Linked DNA regions of Canis lupus familiaris. The protein of the gene in region 2 interacts with the protein of the main gene of each other region in a pairwise test. Links are inferred from orthologs where the notes say so. Each region holds a gene or a part of one and is shown on either strand. Other genes may lie near its edges. The genes, in order: NUP62, SSC5D, SEC23IP, NECAB2 and EXOC7.

Region 1 (3,515 bases), about 4.4 Mb from region 2:
AAAGATGAAGGGGTGCCTGATATGCACATTATCTGTGCCCTACACCTCCAGGTGAAGGAGGCCACCTCTTCTTGAGACCCTGGTCCAAGTTAGCAGTCCTGGGACCCATGTCCCATCCCTGAGCTAGGAAGAGGGCAGGCCCTGCCCTCTGTCCTCCTAAACCAGGGCAGTGCCTCATGTCCTACCATACAGCTCAGCTTTCTGGGGCTTCTCTGTGAGTTCCAGAAAGGTACTCGGGGTGGCACTCAACCAGATCAGTCCACCACCCACCACCTCCCACTTGCATTTAGCAGGGAAACTTGGGGAGCAGTTCCTAAAGGTGTTATTTTGTGTGCTTCTAGTCCCACTTGCCTGAAGTGTCTTGAATCTGAGCTCCTCCTCAGGGCTGAGGTCAGTTCAGGTGCCTGCCCTTTGGCCTTCTCCTCTAGGGCAACAGATTACTCCTTGTGCTGAGCATGGCCGTGCATGTCCCAAGCACATCTGGCTCCTAGCACATGACTCCCATGCATGAGCTTATGCTTCCAGATCTTTCTTTTCTAGTTTTAGCAGGGCCTGGCTAGGTTATGACAGGGAGTGAGATGGTGGCCACATATTCTAATTATCCAGTCCCGCCACCCTACAGACTGTTCCATCTTGCATTGAGGTTGCCTTTCCAAAACTGCCATCTGATCATGTGACTTACTCTGCTTTAAAAATCTTCCCAAGGTTTCAGACACCGACGGATTTGCTTTGGGAGCCAGAGTAGCTGCCGCCACCAGAATCTGGAGCCATGAGTGGGTTTAATTTTGGAGGCACTGGGGCCCCCACAGGTGGGTTCACATTTGGCACTGCAAAGACGGCGACAACCACTCCTGCTACTGGGTTTTCTTTCTCTACATCTGGCACTGGTGGGTTTAATTTTGGGACTCCCTCCCAGCCAGCTGCAAGTACTCCTTCTACTGGCCTCTTCTCCCTCACAACCCAGGCTCCAGCAACACAAACCCCAGGATTCAGTTTTGGAACCACAACTCCTGCCACAGGAGGAACTGGATTCTCCTTAGGCATCAGCACACCAAAGCTAAACTTGGGCAGCGTGGCTGCCACCCCAGCTACAGCACACCCTGGCGGCTTTGGGCTCAGCAGCAGCACCCTCACCAATGCCATCTCGAGCACTGTCACCTCCAGCCAGAGCACAGCACCCACCGGCTTCATGTTTGGCTCTGCCACCACCTCTGCTGCTCCTTCCACCACACCAGGGGGATTCTCATTCACAGCGGGGAGCACGTCCCAGACCGGGACCTCAGGTTTTAATATTGGCTCAATGGGGACTTCAACCCAGCCCACGGCACTTGCTGGATTGCTCTTCACTCCTGCCACTCCAGCAGCCACTGGAGCGGGAGCCACACAGCCAGCTGCTCCTGCACCCACTGCTGCCACTACCAGTGCTGGGCCCACACTGTTTGCCTCTCTAGCAACTGCTCCAACCTCATCGACCACCACTGGGCTTTCTCTTTGTACCCCATCAACCACGGCTGGAACTCCTGGAGCTGGAACACTGGGCTTCAGCTTAAAGGCCACTGGAGCAGCTTCTACGGCCTCCACAACAACATCCACCACCACGGCCACCACCACCACTGCAGCCACCACTGCAGCCACCACTACCACCACTGGCTTTGCCTTGAATCTGAAGCCCCTTGCACCGGCCGGGATCACCAGCAATGCACCGGCTGCTGTGGCCGCACCACCTGGCCCTGGTGCAGCCACTGGGGCATCTACCAGCCCTGTGATGACCTACGCCCAGCTGGAGAGTCTGATCAACAAGTGGAGTCTGGAGCTGGAGGACCAGGAACGGCACTTCCTGCAGCAGGCCACACAGGTCAATGCCTGGGACCGCACACTGATTGAGAATGGGGAGAAGATCACTACCCTCCACCGTGAGGTGGAGAAAGTGAAGCTGGACCAGAAGAGGCTGGACCAAGAGCTCGACTTCATCCTGTCTCAGCAGAAGGAGTTGGAAGACCTGCTGAGCCCACTGGAGGAGTCGGTCAAGGAGCAGAGTGGCACTGTCTACCTGCAGCATGCCGATGAGGAGCGTGAGAAAACCTACAAGCTGGCAGAGAATATCGATGCACAGCTAAAGCGCATGGCCCAAGACCTCAAGGACATCATCGAGCACTTGAACACATCTGGAGGCCCTGCCGACACCAGCGACCCACTGCAGCAGATCTGCAAGATCCTCAATGCGCACATGGACTCGCTGCAGTGGATCGACCAGAACTCGGCCCTGTTGCAGAGGAAGGTGGAGGAGGTGACCAAGGTGTGTGAGGGGCGTCGCAAGGAGCAGGAGCGCAGCTTCCGGATCACATTCGACTGAGGCGCCAGCCAGCTTCAGGGCCTGTGGGTTCTGAGGGTGTTGGGGGCAGTGGGTGATGCGCAAATTATTGTCTAGTTTTTGGTTGCAATGAATACTTGTTTGTTCCTTTCTTCCAAATGGCTGTGCCGTTGAGAACACTTCTGTGGTTTGACTTTGCAGTAATGAAAATGAAAATATTCCAGTGCTCTGGTCCAGACGGCCTGGTGGATGTGGTTTCTTTGTGTATCTTTTGTGTATCCCTGACCCGTTTTCACTATAACCACCACCTACCCCATCCTTCTTGCTCCAGCCAAGTGCTAGAGAAGTGCTGGAGAAGTTCATCCAAAACCATCTGTCTCCCAGCTAGGATCTGCTTAGGGTCCACTATGTCCCACACATAGTCTTAGGTACAGGGAAAAGAGTCTCTGTCCTCGACAAGGCAGCATCTTGGTGTGAGGTGTGTACCTGTGGAAACTCACCACCTGTACAAAGAAGGGAATAGTGAATAGGACTGACCAGGAGATGTAGAATTTCAGAGGAAGGACATGAGTGCAGTGTTAAGACAAGGGTCAGACTTGCACTAGCAGGTCTTGTCTGGCTGACATGACACCCCATCCTCCAGGTCTCTTTATCTTAGGCCTTATCTCTCCAGAAGCCCTCTCAGCCACCCCAAAGCTGGGTCAGGTGGCTATCCTGTGGCCCCTATACCACACAGAGCGTGCATCTTTGGTAGCACTTGCCACACTGTCTTGTGTAGACTGTTTACTTCTCTGCTTCCCCTTTAGAGTATGAGCCCCCATGGGCCGGGACTGTTTCTTGTTCCCTTTTGTGTCTTCACTACAGTCCCTCTCACATTTTCAAATTTGAATGAATGAACAACGGAGGTGAAACATGGCATCAAATGTTCAGCCCCAAAATGCCTGCTGAAATGGCCACAGGGACCAGAGATGGCCACAGACTTGGTTCAGAACTTGTTGATGCTGAAGCAAACCTAACTTGTTACAGTGAGATCCATGGTGATGTCCAGAAGACAACCAGTTGTTGCCCAAATATCTTTTTGTATTTGTCTTTATACTTTGCTGCACTGTCTATGACTCTATGTTGCTTTCCTAAATAAAATGTATTGTGGAAGGAAAAAGATGCCAATAATGTGGATCACTTAGAAAGCTGGGGGAAAAGAGCA
Region 2 (3,515 bases):
CTGGTCACACGTAAGCCAGCGGTGCTAGGAGACTTGGGAAAGGTGGGGAGCGAGGCCCCTGGTAAGAACAGGTTTCCCACCCGTGAGCGACAGCTGCATTAACAGTGTGTTTTCCTTGTCTACGTTCTGATGCTTTGCCATCTTGGGGCTTCACTGACCCTGGGGAGACTGCCCACCCTCCCCAGGGACAGCTCATTCCTAGAGGCAGGAAAACACCGGAGCGGGCCTTCTGTGTGCACACCAGCCAATCGCAGCCGCCCCCCCAACCTGCTCCGTGGGACTCACACTCGGGGCCCCTGTCTACCTGCCCTTAGCCCCCAGAGCCGGGCGCCCGACAACCAGGGGCAGCCCCTGAACCCCACAGCTCGCAGGCTGACCCTGAGCCTGCTACTTGACCTCACCTGCTCCTTCCCACAGAAGCAACAGTCAGGGCTCTGTCTGCGCCCCCCCACCCCCGCCCCCTGGCCAGCCCCCTGCTGCTTCCCCATGTGGCCCCTCAACTGTGTGAGATAGAAACACTGTCTCTTTCCAGTGGCAGTCCCATTTTGTCTGCAGGCCACACTGCACCTGAATGATATCAAGGCCCATGTTTTAAAAATGACAACTGTGTGGGATCCCTGGGTGGCGCAGCGGTTTGGCGCCTGCCTTTGGCCCAGGGCGCGATCCTGGAGACCCGGGATCAAATCCCACATCGGGCTCCTGGTGCATGGAGCCTGCTTCTCTCTCTGCCTGTGTCTCTGCCTCTCTCTCTCTCTGTCTGTGACTTAAATAAAAAAAAAAAAAAAAAAAAAAAAAAATGACAACTGTGGTTGATCCAGTCCTTTTGGTCTTTGTGAGGAGACAGCCTCCCCAAAACTACACATTTCACAATGGCAACAGCAGAGGATTTAACTGAGCACGGACCCTTCCAGGCGCAGGGCTCTGTTCTCTCCTCCACCCTTGTCTTGGCCCTTGCCCTGATGAGACAGTCTTTGAGCAGGGAGAAGGGGTGTCTGGGGGCTGGCTAAGGGGGAGGAAGCAGCAGGTAAATCCCCGTTTTCTTGGGGAGACAGAGACTCACCAGCTTCTGGTCCAGGCTCCCGAGGGGCAGTGGGGGAGGCGGGAGGAGGCGAGATGCCGGCGGTTCCTGGGGCCTGGCTCCCTGTGGGGCCTGGGGGCCGGGATGCTGCCTCCCTGGGCAAAGAGTGGTTGCTGTCCACTGCCGGGGCCGTGGGAGGGATGTATCCAATAGGCATACCTGGGGGTACGCAGGGACAGGGGAAGAGGTGACCACCACTGCCTCAGTAATGCCGGACAGCTCCCCACACCCTCATCCTGGGACTATGGATGCCAACTGAGGTCTCAGGCTGAGGACAAAGTGGGGCAAGTGGGCAGTCAGGACAGAGGGATGGAGTGGCACATGGGGCACACGTTGCAAAACCACACCAGCTCCCCACTTCTCATGCCTCCACTTGAGGCTCTAGAGCACCCACATCCCCAGCCTCTTCCTTTGTCCTCCTCACCATCACACACGGCCCCTGCGTCCTCCCGGTGGTGGCAGTCATGCTGGCCCCAGGGCCGCGCTGGGCAAAATCGCAGGGCCGTCTCGTTACCCCGACACCGGAGGTCGTCCAGGAGGATGGGCCCAGCCCCCTCCCCAAAGAAGGCGCCTCCGGGGGCAGCCAGTGCAGCCCCGCAGCCTAGCTCCCAGCAGGCCACAGAGGCGTCCCGCAGGTCCCAGGCATCGTCGCACACTGTCCCCCAGCGCCCGCCGTGCCACACCTCCAGGCGGCCCGCACACCCATGGGGACCATCAGCCAGGCGGAGCCGTGGGGCCGGGCCTGGATGTGGGGAGAAGAGGGGTAACAGACGGGGAGGCTGCGGTGTGTACTCCCTGTGCAGGAAGCTAGCACACATGCTCACATACTAAGCTGTCCACGGGGTCAGGCTTCGTGCCCATGATGACGCTGGACAGCAGACATTCCCCCTTCTGTTTGCTCTGAGATTGGAAGTCACTCACCAAGAGTCCATATGTCGTCTGTCCACCTCCCGAGGCCCCTGCCTCCCCAGTGGCGAGCTGTGGGGATACTGGCCCTGATCCTACTCCCCAGCTGCCTGCCTCAGGCCTGTATAGCAGGGCTTTCCCACCTCAGCACTCTGACATGGGGGGACAGGTCATTCCTTGCTGGGGGGAGCATCCTGTGACCAGAGGATGTCCAGCAGCATCCCTGGGCGCCACTCCCCATATGTGAGCCTCTACAGCGTGACAACCAGATTTTGCCCAATGTCCCCTGGGTAAAAGGGAATCCTAACCCCCTCTGTGGAGAACCACTAGTTTGCATACTAACTTCCTGTGGGTTTTAGAGTACATTTCTCTTTGGGGTGAGACTTGGGTCACCACTGGGGAGTAGAGAGGCCATTTTTCTACCCCCCAATATGAGGGGGGAGCAAAATCACCCGTCAGTGCTCTAGAGAAAAAAAATGACCAGAGAAGGGTCTGACCTGCCTGCGTTTGCATGTCCTCATTGTCGATGAGGAGCTCCCTTATGGGGTTGCTCTGGGAATTAAAGATGTTGTTAAGGCACCGAGCTCCCTCTACACCCTGGTACCTCAACAGGGTTCACTTCTTTTCCCCAGCAGCTTAGCCCTCTCTGGCACCTCAATTCATCTCCCATGACCTGGGCTCTGAAGGCCCCACTTCTGCCCCTACTTGCTGCCCACCCCAGGGCACATGGGGGAGCCACCCTCACTGTCCCTGGTCTGCTGCCCGGTGCCCCTGCCTTGTTGTCTCCACCTTTCCGCACCCTGTGCTTCAGATCCCCGGCAGGCACAGCACATCTGTCTGTGCAATGGGACAGGCCCGGCTGGCCCAGTTCTGGGTCCGGGGCTAAGTCTGCAACCTAGGTTATTAGGGTTACTTCTCTGAACCTTGTTTCCACACCTGTGAAGATGGGTGAGAACACCCACCCCAGTGGCCGTCCACATGGGGGTGAGGTTCAGAGACAGCAGGGGAGGTGCCCAGCACGCTGCTTGGCACAGAGCAGAGACCCAGGTGTCATTGTCCTCTTCCCCTTCACATGAGTCAGCTTAAGCCTATCCCACCCCCTGCCCCCCTGTCTGGTGTGCACCCCCTGTCTGCCTGCTGCCCTCATAATTTCTCACTTACAGCTGTGGGCTGCTACTGCTGCTGCCTTGTGCCTGCTGGGTCCGGCAGCAGACCCAGTCAGATCCATGAGAGTGAGGACTGGGTCTCAGGCTATGTCTGTGCCAAGCCAGAATGGTTCTTAAGAATTTGTGGAAGGTGGGGTGGCCCCAGTGGCACAGTGGTTTAGCGCCGCCTGCAGCCCAGGGCATGATCCTGGAGACCCAGGATCAAGTCCCACGTCAGGCTCCCTGCATGGAGACTGCTTCTCCCTCTGCCTGTGTCTCTGCCTCTCTTTTTCTCTCTCTGTTTCTATGAATAAATAAAATCTTAAAAAAAAAAAAAAAAGAATTTGTGGAAGGAAGGAGTGGGGGAGGAGGGAAAGGTAGGCCAG
Region 3 (3,515 bases), on a different chromosome or scaffold from region 2:
GCCTCACATTGAGCTTCCTGCTCAATGGGGAGCCTGCTTCTCCTTCTTCCTTTGCCTGCCACCCTGCCTATTTGTGCTTGCTTGCTCTCTCTCTGTAAATAAATCAATCAAACCTTAAAAAAAAAATAATGACAGCAATTTTAAGCATTATAAGCCATACTTGAGTGGCATCATCTGTGTTGAGATGCTTTCAACTAAGCAGTTCCAGCTTGAACTTTCGAATTTTTTATTGTATGACATTGGAATGATGATCTTTTATTGTATTTTTTATTCTTTCTAGGTTTCTGTTGTTTACAACTCATTAGACTTTGAACCAGAGATTTTCTTTGCCTTGGGATCTCCAATTGGTATGTTCCTCACTATTCGAGGAGTGGATAGGATAGATGAGAACTACAGGCTTCCTACGTGTAAAGGATTCTTCAATATTTATCATCCAGTGAGTGACTTGAACTACTTCCTATTTTGAAGAAGATAAAACATCTACATAGAAACACCAATATAGATAAATCATCCTAATAGATTTTCAGATTCTTTTTTCTTAGGAACTAATTCTGATTTTGATGTACACCCAGCTCTCTGTCCTAAGAGAGAATAGTCTGATACCAACCAATAAACTTTTCTGCCAGAAAGCCTTTGTTCAAGGAAATAATTCTGTTGCTTTGCTTGCAAAGTAGTTTTCCTCACAAACTTAGAAGTCGTCTTATAATTACCAGTAGGTGAATGACTTGTGGGGAAAAAAAATCAAAATCTCTGGTTTGCTAGTTATCTATTTTGTCATACAATCAAGATACATAACTGAAGATAAGAGAGCTTTTCCAAAATTTCCAATTCTTCTCTTTACAGCTTGATCCAGTGGCGTATAGATTAGAGCCTATGATTGTTCCAGATTTGGACCTGAAAGCAGTTCTCATTCCACATCACAAAGGCAGAAAAAGACTTCATTTAGGTAAAAAGCAAATACTATAAAAGCTTGTTTCCTTCCTGTCATTTTGTAATCTGTTAGTCCTAATGAAGTATGTTTTTCCTGTCACTTGTAATTGAACTGTGAAAATCTTAACACCAGGTCCTTTCTGACAAAATTAATTTTATTTAAGAGCCTGCTGTGTTTAGAGCCTGTTTATTAAATGTTCAGAAGAGCTATAAAGTTTTGAGTGAGTTGCTTCTCCTTGAATATTTTGTTCTAGATGCGACGTTCTGATGGTTGAAATACTTAGGAATGGGGGATGTTGGTAATAAAGTGATGAGATATACCTATAGATTTTGATAGAATTTGGCCATAATTTTTGGAGTTGGGAAGCAGAGTAACACTTGAACTAAGGACCAACAAGACATAAACTTGATGCTAAGTCAACTGAGCTGTTACTTCCTTGCTAAATAGATAAACTTTTCCAATTAAAAACATTCATTAAACGTAATGGATCACTAAGAATTCCAAATGGGGTTTAGGTTTCTCTTATGCCTGTTAATGGTGTGTATCATCCAGGGGCTTAAAGGTTTGGGTGGAAGGGATGGGAGTGCAGTGGAGAAGAGGGGGTATGTGATCATGCCCTTTTATTTAAAATTGGATTTTCTTTCTTTTTTTTTCTTACATCATTTTTTAAAAAATATTTAACTATTTTGGGATTAAAATGGGAAATTTGATACATACCTTAAAATCAAAAGGATTTATTAGACAAAAGTAGGAAAAATGAAGGGGCAGAGGTTTCTTCATTTTTAAATCAGAGGTTTATATTGTGGTTATATTAGAATCTCAAATTCTCAAAACCATTTTACCATTACAGATAAGAAAAGCAGTCATCTTTTTTATCTTGTGGGCCCATTTTTTTTAACTTACAGAAAAAAAAGCACATGAACGTGTCTACATTTTTATAGTATTTGAACTCTTCCTTCCCTCTTCTTTTTTTTTTTTTTTCCTTTTGTCGAGAGAGGGAATTTATACAGTTTGCCTGGATTAGCTTTGGTTATTAAAAAAGATGACAGAATAAGCCTCTATAAAACATTTTAATATGTTGAGAGTTCTTGGGTGAGAAACTCTGAGTGTTTGGCGTTTAAGAGAGGATTCATCCAGTCTGAGAAGAGTGTTAACTTTGAATTTTTATGGCACAGAATTTCACCTTGTGACTAATTAAGTTGATGTGTCATCTTCATCTCTTTAGAGTTGAAAGACAGTCTCTCTCGTATGGGATCTGATTTGAAGCAGGGTTTTATTAGCTCCCTGAAAAGCGCTTGGCAGACATTAAACGAATTTGCCCGCGCTCACACCTCTTCAACTCAGCTGCAAGAAGAACTGGAAAAAGTGGCCCATCAAATCAAAGAAGAAGAAGAAAAACAAGTAGTTGAAGGTAAATTTGGCATTTGAGGCATTTTCTAGTACAAATGTTATTTGTAAACATAATGAATTATTTGTATACATTATGAATTATTTAATGATGCTTTTCCATTCTGGTCTTTTTTGTTAAAATATGGAGGTTGTTTTTTTTTTTTTTTTTATATAAAGGAAAATCTGTTGTGATAAACTGTACTTCAACATGGATGCCATTCTTTTTCCAGGGTTTTGCCTGATAGTTAGTTGCTGGACTTTTTACTCTGCAATCTTGTTTTTGTTGAGATTCCTAAGGCCAGAGTGGAATATCAGAGTTAAGAGCAAAGCTTGTATTCAGGCATTTTAAAGACCCACTGTGAGAAAATATCTTCTGATGTTGTCTACCTTTGTCGTTTTATTATAGACTTTATCTGCATTGTCAGGTCATTGTGCCATGATGCTTTTGACTCTCTTCAGATTCTAATTCTGTTTCCTTTCTTTCTACAATGCTCTCTCACCCCTTTTCTTCAAAACTGTCAGCTCGTTGGCTCTTTCTCCTCTCTCGGGTAACCAGCCCCTCTTCCTTCTCCTGGCTCTTTGGAGGAATGGGAAGTGAGCCTGGTATCTCCCCAGGTTGCTACGTGTGTCAAGCGATATTCTCTTGAGCCCAGAAAGTCAGCTAAAGTCAAAGGATAATGATTAAGTGATTGACTTTGATATTGAAATGGTTTAAATTTTAGCAGAAAAGATTGTTGAAAGTCCAGATTTTTCCAAGGATGAGGACTACTTAGGAAAGGTTGGAATGCTAAACGGAGGCCGCCGAATTGACTACGTTCTTCAAGAAAAGCCAATAGAGAGTTTTAATGAATATCTTTTCGCTCTTCAGAGTCATTTGTGCTATTGGTAAGTAGTTTCTTCTTTGATAACATTCACGCGGCCTGTAGGTGCTGGCATATACAGCAGTTTTAGGGGAGACTCTTTTGCCGATTTATCACTTACGATGAAATATTAATTTCAATGGCCATATATTCAAAATCCGTATTTTCCCCCGTTATTTTATTATCCACAAGATGGCAGTGTGTCATCTGCCTTTTACCAAAGGACTTTAGTACGTGCACACTGATTTTTGTAGGGGTACCTTTCACAGAATGGAAGTGGTAGGGACTTTGAAAAGCCATCCTTTCATATATCCCCTGTCACCATGGAGAATTGC
Region 4 (4,153 bases), on a different chromosome or scaffold from region 2:
CCTACCCGGGCTGCTCCAGCCCAGCGGCATGAGGGCTGAAGTACACCAAGCACCTACTATGTGCAAGACATCCTGGCATCACAGACACCAACTCCTTGAATCCCTGTGGCATCCCTACCAAGCAGGAACTATGTGTAATTCCACTGTGAGACAGGGAAACTGAGGCACAGGGCAGAGCCAGGATTCGGCTTTCTTGACTTCAGAAACCATCACGTACAAGGCGGTCCATGTCCCAAGCCCGGGTCCCTGCCCCCGAAGCGTGAGGATAGAAAGAGCCAGGACCTTGTTCAGGGGACAGCCTGGGAGGGAAACTCACCATTTTTGTCCGCCCGGCGGAAAATCTGCAGAGAAGAGAAGTGGAGTCAGCCTGGGCCCCAGAGGGGCAGGCGCCCTCCAGTGACTCCCAACTCATCTTGAGATCCCACGCCTGGGGGTGGTGCAGGGGGACCTGGGAAGCTGAGCAGCCCCTCCCCCAGGAGGCCCCCGCTGGGATCCAGGGCAGGAGGGATGCTTCAGGCACAGCCTTCCCAGGCGCCTGCGAGGAAGCAGCACCCACTCTTCTTCTGTGCCGACATGCGCACACACACGTGGACACACACGCTCACACCGATCCACATGCTTGCGGGTGTGCTTGCAGAGCCAGCAGTCCACGCGGCCTCACCCACTGTGCTACGCTCAGTCACACAATGGGAATCTGTGTCCCACGGACACAACCACACGCCTCATACCGCTGCACCCCTCTCGGAAGCCCGTGGGAGCCCCGATTTCCCCCCACGGAGGTTGGTTTAGTGTCAACAGAGAGGTCTGCTAAGGGAACCTCCAGGCCTGGCAACTGGGCCAGCCAGGGGCAGCACTGGATTATTTTTCAGGTGGGGGAGTGGGTGGAAGCAGGCCGTGAAGAGCTCAGAAAGCCAGCTGCAGGTGCCAGGTTCTGGCTGCATGGGGAGGGGGTGGGGGAGGGATGGGGGAGTGACAGCCACCCCCCCCAAACCTGAGCTGAGACCAGATAAGTCCTCCTGGTATTTTTAGAAGAAGGTGAGCCACAGGTGAACAGAAGGAGCAGGGGGAGGCACTAACCCCTCTGACCATCTGACCTTTGGTGCTTGCCCTGGGGCCAAGGACAGATGTCCCCCCCATCCCTTCAAGTACTCGAGACTGTGACAAACTGAAGCAGCAGCTCAGAAAGGGCTTCCTACACATCACCCCCCTCTTCCCTCAGCTGAAACCCTAGCTGGGGGTGCTCGAGCAGGAGCTGCCGTGGCTGGGGCAGAAGGGAGACTAGCAGAGCACCCATTGCCCGCCTGGGCACTCCACACCCCAGCTCCCCACTGCAAAGTTCTCTGGGGCTGGGGTCCCCCCCGCAGGTGCCCACACTGGCCACGCCAAGCAAGTGAATGGTGCAGACCACCTAAGGTGGCTCCAGGAGTCCGCTCCCCACCCCCACTCATCGCTCCATCTCCTAGATAGAGGAGTCTCGGAGCGCACCCGCACCCGCACCAGGAGGACCCCGAGCCTCCTGCCCGCACTGCTGGGAACGGGAAGGGTCTGGACAGGGCTTCCCTGCAAGGGTGGCCCCGGTTTTCCCCGCACGAACTCTGTGGGGGACCTGAGAGAGGATCTGGCTGTGCAAGAGTGTGTGTGCGTGTGCGCGTGCCTGCATGTCTCTGGGGGCAGCCTCCAGCACCCCACCGCCCAGCTCCCCCTTCCCTGCCCAGCCCTCTCTGCCCAGGGCCAACTGTGGGTTCCAGGAGAGAGGAAGGAAGGGGGAGAGGAGATCCACGCTCCCCCTAACAATCAGACCTGCAGACACAACTGTCCCAGAAGCCCCAGGAGCCCAGGACCCTCCCCGGGACAAGCACGTCCTGTGGCCGCGGCCAGGCTGTCGGGAGGTGGGGTGGTGCCCGGGGCAGGGCCCCCACCGCCTCGCCCTCCCCGACGCCCCCTCCCCCAGCGGTCCGCCCTGCAGAAGCTTCCTCCCACTCCTGGGGAGAGGGCGGGGGAGCGGGGGGAGGTGGGCTTCCCAGAGGGGGGTGGCTCGGCTCCCGGGCGGATGGGTGGGGGTTGAGCCACCCCGGGCGTGAAGGGCTGAAGGGCTGACGCGGCTCAGGCTGGAGGGTCCAGGCTCCGCAGACGGGGGTGGCCCCGATCCGCTGAGAGGGGGGACAGGAGGGGGCTTCGCTTTCCAAGAGCTGCTGGCTGCGGGGAGGGGGCTTTGGGGCGGGAACACGCGGGCTCCGGGTCCGCGGCCAGGATGGGTCGGGGCACCGGAGCCTGGGGCCGGGCGGGAGGGGGTCTCGGAGAAGTAGTGACTGGGGCGGGGTGGAGAGGAGGGGGCGGGAGGCGGCAGGGGCGGGAGGGGGAGGGTGGGGCGAGGGCGCAGCCGGGACCGAGGGAGGGGGGCGGTGGCCGGGTCGAAGGGTCGCGGCTCGGAGCAGGCAGGTGGGGATCCCGAGCCGGGGCGGGAGGGGCGTGGGGGCAGGGGAGGGGCGTGCGGGCGCGGGGTCGCGGGTCGGGGGCGCGGGGCGGGGGCGCGGGGCGGGGGCGCGGGGCGGGCGCGGGGTCCGGGGGCCGCCGGCGCGTACTCACGTCCAGGATGACCGCGGTGCCCCCGCGCGGGGAGCCGGGGCCGGGGGCGGCGGGGCCGGGGGCGGCGGGGGCGGCGGGGGCGAGCGGCGCCCGGGGCTCGCCCATCCTGGCGCCCACCCAGCGCAGCAGCCCGCCCAGCGCCCGGCCCTGCGGCGGCGGCTCCCGGAGCAGCCTGTGCGCGCCGGCCCTGCACAGGCGCGCCGCCCGCTCGCACATCGCGCCCGCCCGCCCGCCCGCCCGCGCCGCCCGGAAGCCCGCCGACCCCCGCCCGGCCCGCGGCCCGCCCCCGCGCGCCCCCTCCCCGCCCCGCCGCCCCGCCCCGCCTCCCTCGGCCCCGCGGCCGCGGCCACCGCGGGGGGGGCGCTCGCCCGGACCCCGGCCACGTGCCCGCGTCCCCCGCCCCGCCCCGCCCCGCCCCGCCCCGGCGCCGCGGCAGGGGCCAACCGCGGGGGGCGCTGCGGGCCCGGACCCAGCCCGCGCACGGAAGGGGCGCCCGGGAGGCCTGGGGTCGGGGCGTCGGGCTGCGCGGGCGGGCCTCGCCCGGGGCCGCCCCCTCCCGGAGCCCCCGAGGCCCCCCCGCGGCGCCGACGCAGGGGCCGGAGCGCAGGTGTCCGGCGAGCCCGGGGCGCCCCCTGCTGGCGGCAGCTCCAGGAACCGGCGCCCCCGCGCTCGGCCTCCCCCGCCCGCCCGCCCGCCCGCCCGGGGCCTGCGAGCCCCCCAACCCTGCCGCAGCCGAGCGCCCGGCCGGCGCCCCAGCACCCTCTTCCCCTCACGCCCCACCCACCACCATCCACCTGTCCAAAGGATGAGTGAGGGCCCGTGCCAGGTGCTGGGTTCCACTAATGGGACTGCGGGGGGGCGGGGGTGGCTGTCCTCGGCCTCCTGGAACCTACGTCCAAGTGGGCAGAGTCGGCTGCGGGAGCGATTCCGTAGACAAACGAACTATTACTTCTGAACGCCCGGGAACCTTGGGCCACCAACGGGACTGCCCTGGTGACGGAGGAGGCTGCCTGGAGGAAGTGGCCCTTAGGTGACCGCAATGGAAGAGGAGTTAGAGAGAAGAGTAAAGTGTCCTGGGTGGGAGACCCGCCCCTGCAAAGGCCCTGTGGCCGGCGCGAGCTGAGGGAGCATGAAGGACTGAAGAGACAGTGAGACCAGGAGGGAGCGTGGGAGACAGTCAGGGGCCAGGCTGGAGGGGTGGGCAGGGCTGTGAAGGCCCCCCCAGCATACCCTTCCCCCCACACACCCTCCCCTCACGTCCCTAACACAGCTGTACCCAGACTTGGACACCATCCCTTATCACAAAACTCCCCATCCCAAGGACCTCCCACATGGCCCTGTGCTTCCCGGGGCACCCAGCCCCCTCCCCACACACAGAATCCTCAGACACGGGAGTGGAGGCAGGTACTGGGTTTAATTGGAACCTGATTCTGGAAGCAGTAGAGCCTGGAGTCCTCTTGGCTCAGCTGGCCCTGGTGACCCCAGCTCTTACCAGCAGCTTTCACCCTAAATCACTGCCCCCCCTGGCCTGCAGCATCTGTTCCCACCCTGGTACTAGTCTGAGTCC
Region 5 (3,426 bases), on a different chromosome or scaffold from region 2:
CTGCTCCAGCCACCTGAGGGATGCCTGGGAGGCAGAACACCCCCGATTTTCAGGACCGTGGGTGACGGGAACTATGTTTTCTGCATAAATCCATGAGCAGGTCAATCCTGCTACCTTTTTCTCCATGCTCTCTGGCTTTGCTGTGGCCTGCCCTACCCACACTTCAGGGCTAAAACAGGTGGTCCCCACCCGCAGCTCTGAGCTGGGCCGGAGGCAGGCTGTTTCCCCTCCTGCTCTTGTACACACGAGGCAGCTGTGGGCACAAGCCCTTTGTCCTCCTTCTCTGTCCTTTCCTGTCTAGAAGCCATCACGTGGCCCATGCAGCTTGAGGGTCATGAAACCTAAGGTGGGAAGGAGCCCCAGTATTCTGGGAGAGTGCTGGTCAGGGGTGGGGGTGGGTTCCAGGAAGAAGTGCAGACCAGGACTCGGGGCGGGGGGGTGCTCAGGGACAGCTCTGGGCTGGACAAGGGGTGGAAAAAGTTCCTGTCCCAAAGGATGTCAAACTCACCAGGCCCAGAGTTAACACTGGTTTATCTGTCCAATAACAGGGCTGACCGGGCAGTACCAGGCAGGGAGAGCAGCAGGCTCAGGCAGAGGTGTCAAAGAGGCGATCGATCATGTCGCCCACCTGCTCCACGCGGTACTTGATGTACTTCTCAGGGTTCTTGGTGAACGGCACGCTGCCATACCTGCCCAGGCACTGAGGTCAGGGGCAGCCTGGCCAGCCCCCCAGCTCCACCGCAGCCTAAGGTGCTCCTGACAGGCTGCCCCTGAGAGATGTCCCTTTCTGGCCCCACAGCAAAGCCCACGGCCCTGGATCTGCCACCCACACCCTCACGCCCCTCTGTGTGTTCCTGTAGAAGAGAAGAGCAGAGACCCAGCAGGGGAAGCGCGGGGCCCAGGGCTGGGAAGGTGGAGACAAAGGGCTCACCTGTGCAGAAAGGCCCCGTACGTCTCCCTGACGATGTTTTTCTGAGCTTGGCGAATCTTGTCTCTCTGCTCCATGTCAGGAATAGCCCAGGCCTTCTGGATCTTGCACAATTCTTCAAGGCCATCATTGAAACCCTGGCCACCAAAAAAGTGGAAATGGGAGTGACCCAAAGATAAAGACTTTGGGTCCGTGTCCCTGCAATAGCAGCAGGAAGCACTGGAGGTGGTGGGGGGTTGGGTGAGCAGGGAAGACCCCAACTCACCTTGAAACGCTCTTTGATCATCTGTCGCTCCTTGTCCCTCAGCTGGGGGTGGTGAGAGAGGGCAGAGAAAGTGTTCCTCAGAGCAGATCTGCCCTGCCACTGGCTCCTTCCCCAAACACCCAAGCCTGGGCCTGGCCCTTCTTCTGGATACCGTCATGGCCACAGGCAGGCATCATTTGCTCATCCCAGCAGGATGCTTGTCCATTTTTTTCCCCAGAGACATGACACAAAGTATCACATCTGCTAGACACCCCTTCCCAGCCCAGGCCTTCCGCCCACCTTGACTCCGGGTTGGAATACAGGTAGATTCTTCTCAGAAATGTAGTCAGTCACCTTTAACCAGCTGTCAGGTGGAGAGAGAGGCAGAAGGCAGAGGAGGGACAACCTCAGGCTGCTGCCTCTTTCCAGGGGCTGGTTTGTGTTGTTTTTTAAATCTACTAGGGGAGGGGAGGTCAACGATCCATGGGGGTCAGAACTCAGCAGAGCACAGTGAGATTTCTCCTTGGGAAAAGAAAATGTTCAAGCTGCTGGCTTTTAAAATTAAGAACAGGAAACAACATTCAATAAATTGAACAAATAACTAGCAGCTATGCCTCACATCGATCTCCTGGAGAATAAAGATGGAGAAGCAGATGAGGAAGAAAGAAGCAGAAGACAGACAAAGCAAGGAGGAGGGAGACCACTTACAGGAAGAAACACACAAACCAAGGAGAAACAGGGGCAAGGAGCAGAGGGAGCCCTGGGGGCGAGGAACAGAAGGAGCTCTGAAGGACGGGTGAGGAGCAGTGGGAGCACTACAGAGCGAGGCTCAGGAAGTTTGAGTATTCTTACAACCTTGCTCTTTGCTTGGCCTCACATCCCCACACCTCTGATATGCAGTTTTTTGAGTCTTCTTAGCCTGCACCCTTGGCACACCACCCTCTAGAGAGGCTGGCCATAGCAGCCCCTAGGGAGCAGGTGGTGGTAGGGAGGGGCTTCCCCTCCACCTGGTCAGTGTGGTGAAACAGCAAGGGGAGCATTGAGTTCATAGGGGAGCAGTTCCCCATTCCTGACCCCACTTGTAATGAAGCTTGGACAGGAAGAGTGAGTGAAGGACACAAGCTTGGGGGTAATGGGGGGGGGGGCACGGTGGAGGCCCACCTCCGCTGGTAGGTCTGGATCTGCTGCTCAATGTGCTCCCGGTAGGAGCGCTCAGCAGTCTTCTGGGTCACAGCCACCAGCTGGATCAGCTCAGACCTGGGGCGGGGATAAGGAGGAAGCAGAGGAGGGCCGCATTGGCTCTTGGGGCCCAAGGGTAGTGAGCCTCCGCAGCAGCACCAGCAGGAGGCCTGCCTTATGCCTGTGCCCCAGGTCCTAGGACTCCAGGAGGTCAAGGGCTTCCCTCCCCACCTGGCCAGGCAGAGGGTGCAGGCAGCCCCAGGAGGGAGGCAGGCAGGAGGGCAGGCAGGAGGGAGGGAGGCAGTGTGGGAGGACAGGCAGGAGGGCAGGTAGGCGCAGGCCCCTGCAGCCACTCACTTCTCCAGGGCCTTGAGGATGTAGTTGTAGTTGTTGTGCAGAAAGATGGCGCTCAGAGCTGGGTCCTCATACACTTTGGACTTGCTCAGGAGGTTCAGCTGCAGGTTGCCCAGGACTTTACCTGCACAGGGAGGGTGTGGCTACATCCATGGGCAGTCTGACCTAAATGACCCAGTCCCTGTCCCAAGAGCCTTGTCCTTCCCAACTCCAGACTCCACAAGCCTCAGGAGCCCTCTGCCCACAGCCCAGCTCAGCCCCTAAACTGGAAGTTAGGCTGCGATTCCAAAGGTGAGGCTCAGGAGAGCACTGGGAATAGCAGGAGGGCACAGAGGAAGGAAGGGAAACGCCAGTGGAGGTGGGCAGGTGGGCGCGGGGGGCTGCCGGCCAGCCAGAGAGCACTCACAGATATACGTGCTTAGCAGGCGCTTGCTGAACTCGGAGCTGTAGCTGGTGGCTGAAGAGCTGGTCTCTGGGAGAAGAGAGGCCTGTCACTGCAGCCATGGCAGCAGCCAGGACCCTCTCTGGCCTTCCCTCAGCCCCTGGAGCAGCTGTGGAAACCTTGGGGTGGGGGTGGGGGGGCCCTGAGCCTTCCTCAGGCAGACTGGACGCAGAACGGGGAAGGGGTTGGTCTGCTGAGCTGCCAAGCTCCCACCTGCTGCAGGAGCACCCCCTGGGCAGCCTCTTCCTGGAGCCCAGGGCAAGCCCCTCTATGGTGATA

Evidence for each region.
Region 1: the proteins of SSC5D (region 2) and NUP62 interact in binary tests that used the Homo sapiens proteins (3 or more experiments, as listed by UniProt). The two-hybrid records come from large-scale screens. The link is inferred for Canis lupus familiaris from reciprocal best matches to the Homo sapiens genes SSC5D and NUP62.
Region 3: the proteins of SSC5D (region 2) and SEC23IP interact in binary tests that used the Homo sapiens proteins (3 or more experiments, as listed by UniProt). The two-hybrid records come from large-scale screens. The link is inferred for Canis lupus familiaris from reciprocal best matches to the Homo sapiens genes SSC5D and SEC23IP.
Region 4: the proteins of SSC5D (region 2) and NECAB2 interact in binary tests that used the Homo sapiens proteins (3 or more experiments, as listed by UniProt). The two-hybrid records come from large-scale screens. The link is inferred for Canis lupus familiaris from reciprocal best matches to the Homo sapiens genes SSC5D and NECAB2.
Region 5: the proteins of SSC5D (region 2) and EXOC7 interact in binary tests that used the Homo sapiens proteins (3 or more experiments, as listed by UniProt). The two-hybrid records come from large-scale screens. The link is inferred for Canis lupus familiaris from reciprocal best matches to the Homo sapiens genes SSC5D and EXOC7.

Annotation. Positions count from the first base shown.
Region 1 is NC_049222.1:107,332,783-107,336,297, forward strand, and holds part of NUP62 (nuclear pore glycoprotein p62), read left to right. Parts: intron 1-705; 5' UTR 706-769; coding exon 770-2,353; 3' UTR 2,354-3,515. UniProt on the Homo sapiens protein: Essential component of the nuclear pore complex. The N-terminal is probably involved in nucleocytoplasmic transport.
Region 2 is NC_049222.1:102,980,892-102,984,406, forward strand, and holds part of SSC5D (soluble scavenger receptor cysteine-rich domain-containing protein SSC5D), read right to left. Parts: intron 1,821-3,515; coding exon 1,503-1,820; intron 1,238-1,502; coding exon 1,061-1,237; intron 1-1,060.
Region 3 is NC_049249.1:30,334,556-30,338,070, forward strand, and holds part of SEC23IP (SEC23-interacting protein), read left to right. Parts: intron 1-280; coding exon 281-436; intron 437-843; coding exon 844-946; intron 947-2,156; coding exon 2,157-2,342; intron 2,343-3,042; coding exon 3,043-3,205; intron 3,206-3,515. UniProt on the Homo sapiens protein: Plays a role in the organization of endoplasmic reticulum exit sites. Specifically binds to phosphatidylinositol 3-phosphate (PI(3)P), phosphatidylinositol 4-phosphate (PI(4)P) and phosphatidylinositol 5-phosphate (PI(5)P).
Region 4 is NC_049226.1:68,838,592-68,842,744, forward strand, and holds the start of NECAB2 (N-terminal EF-hand calcium-binding protein 2), read right to left. Parts: upstream 2,803-4,153; coding exon 2,587-2,802; intron 342-2,586; coding exon 317-341; intron 1-316. UniProt on the Homo sapiens protein: May act as a signaling scaffold protein that senses intracellular calcium.
Region 5 is NC_049230.1:5,431,691-5,435,116, reverse strand, and holds the end of EXOC7 (exocyst complex component 7), read right to left. Parts: intron 3,178-3,426; coding exon 3,112-3,177; intron 2,830-3,111; coding exon 2,709-2,829; intron 2,430-2,708; coding exon 2,334-2,429; intron 1,537-2,333; coding exon 1,473-1,536; intron 1,236-1,472; coding exon 1,194-1,235; intron 1,066-1,193; coding exon 932-1,065; intron 690-931; coding exon 587-689; 3' UTR 514-586; downstream 1-513. UniProt on the Homo sapiens protein: Component of the exocyst complex involved in the docking of exocytic vesicles with fusion sites on the plasma membrane.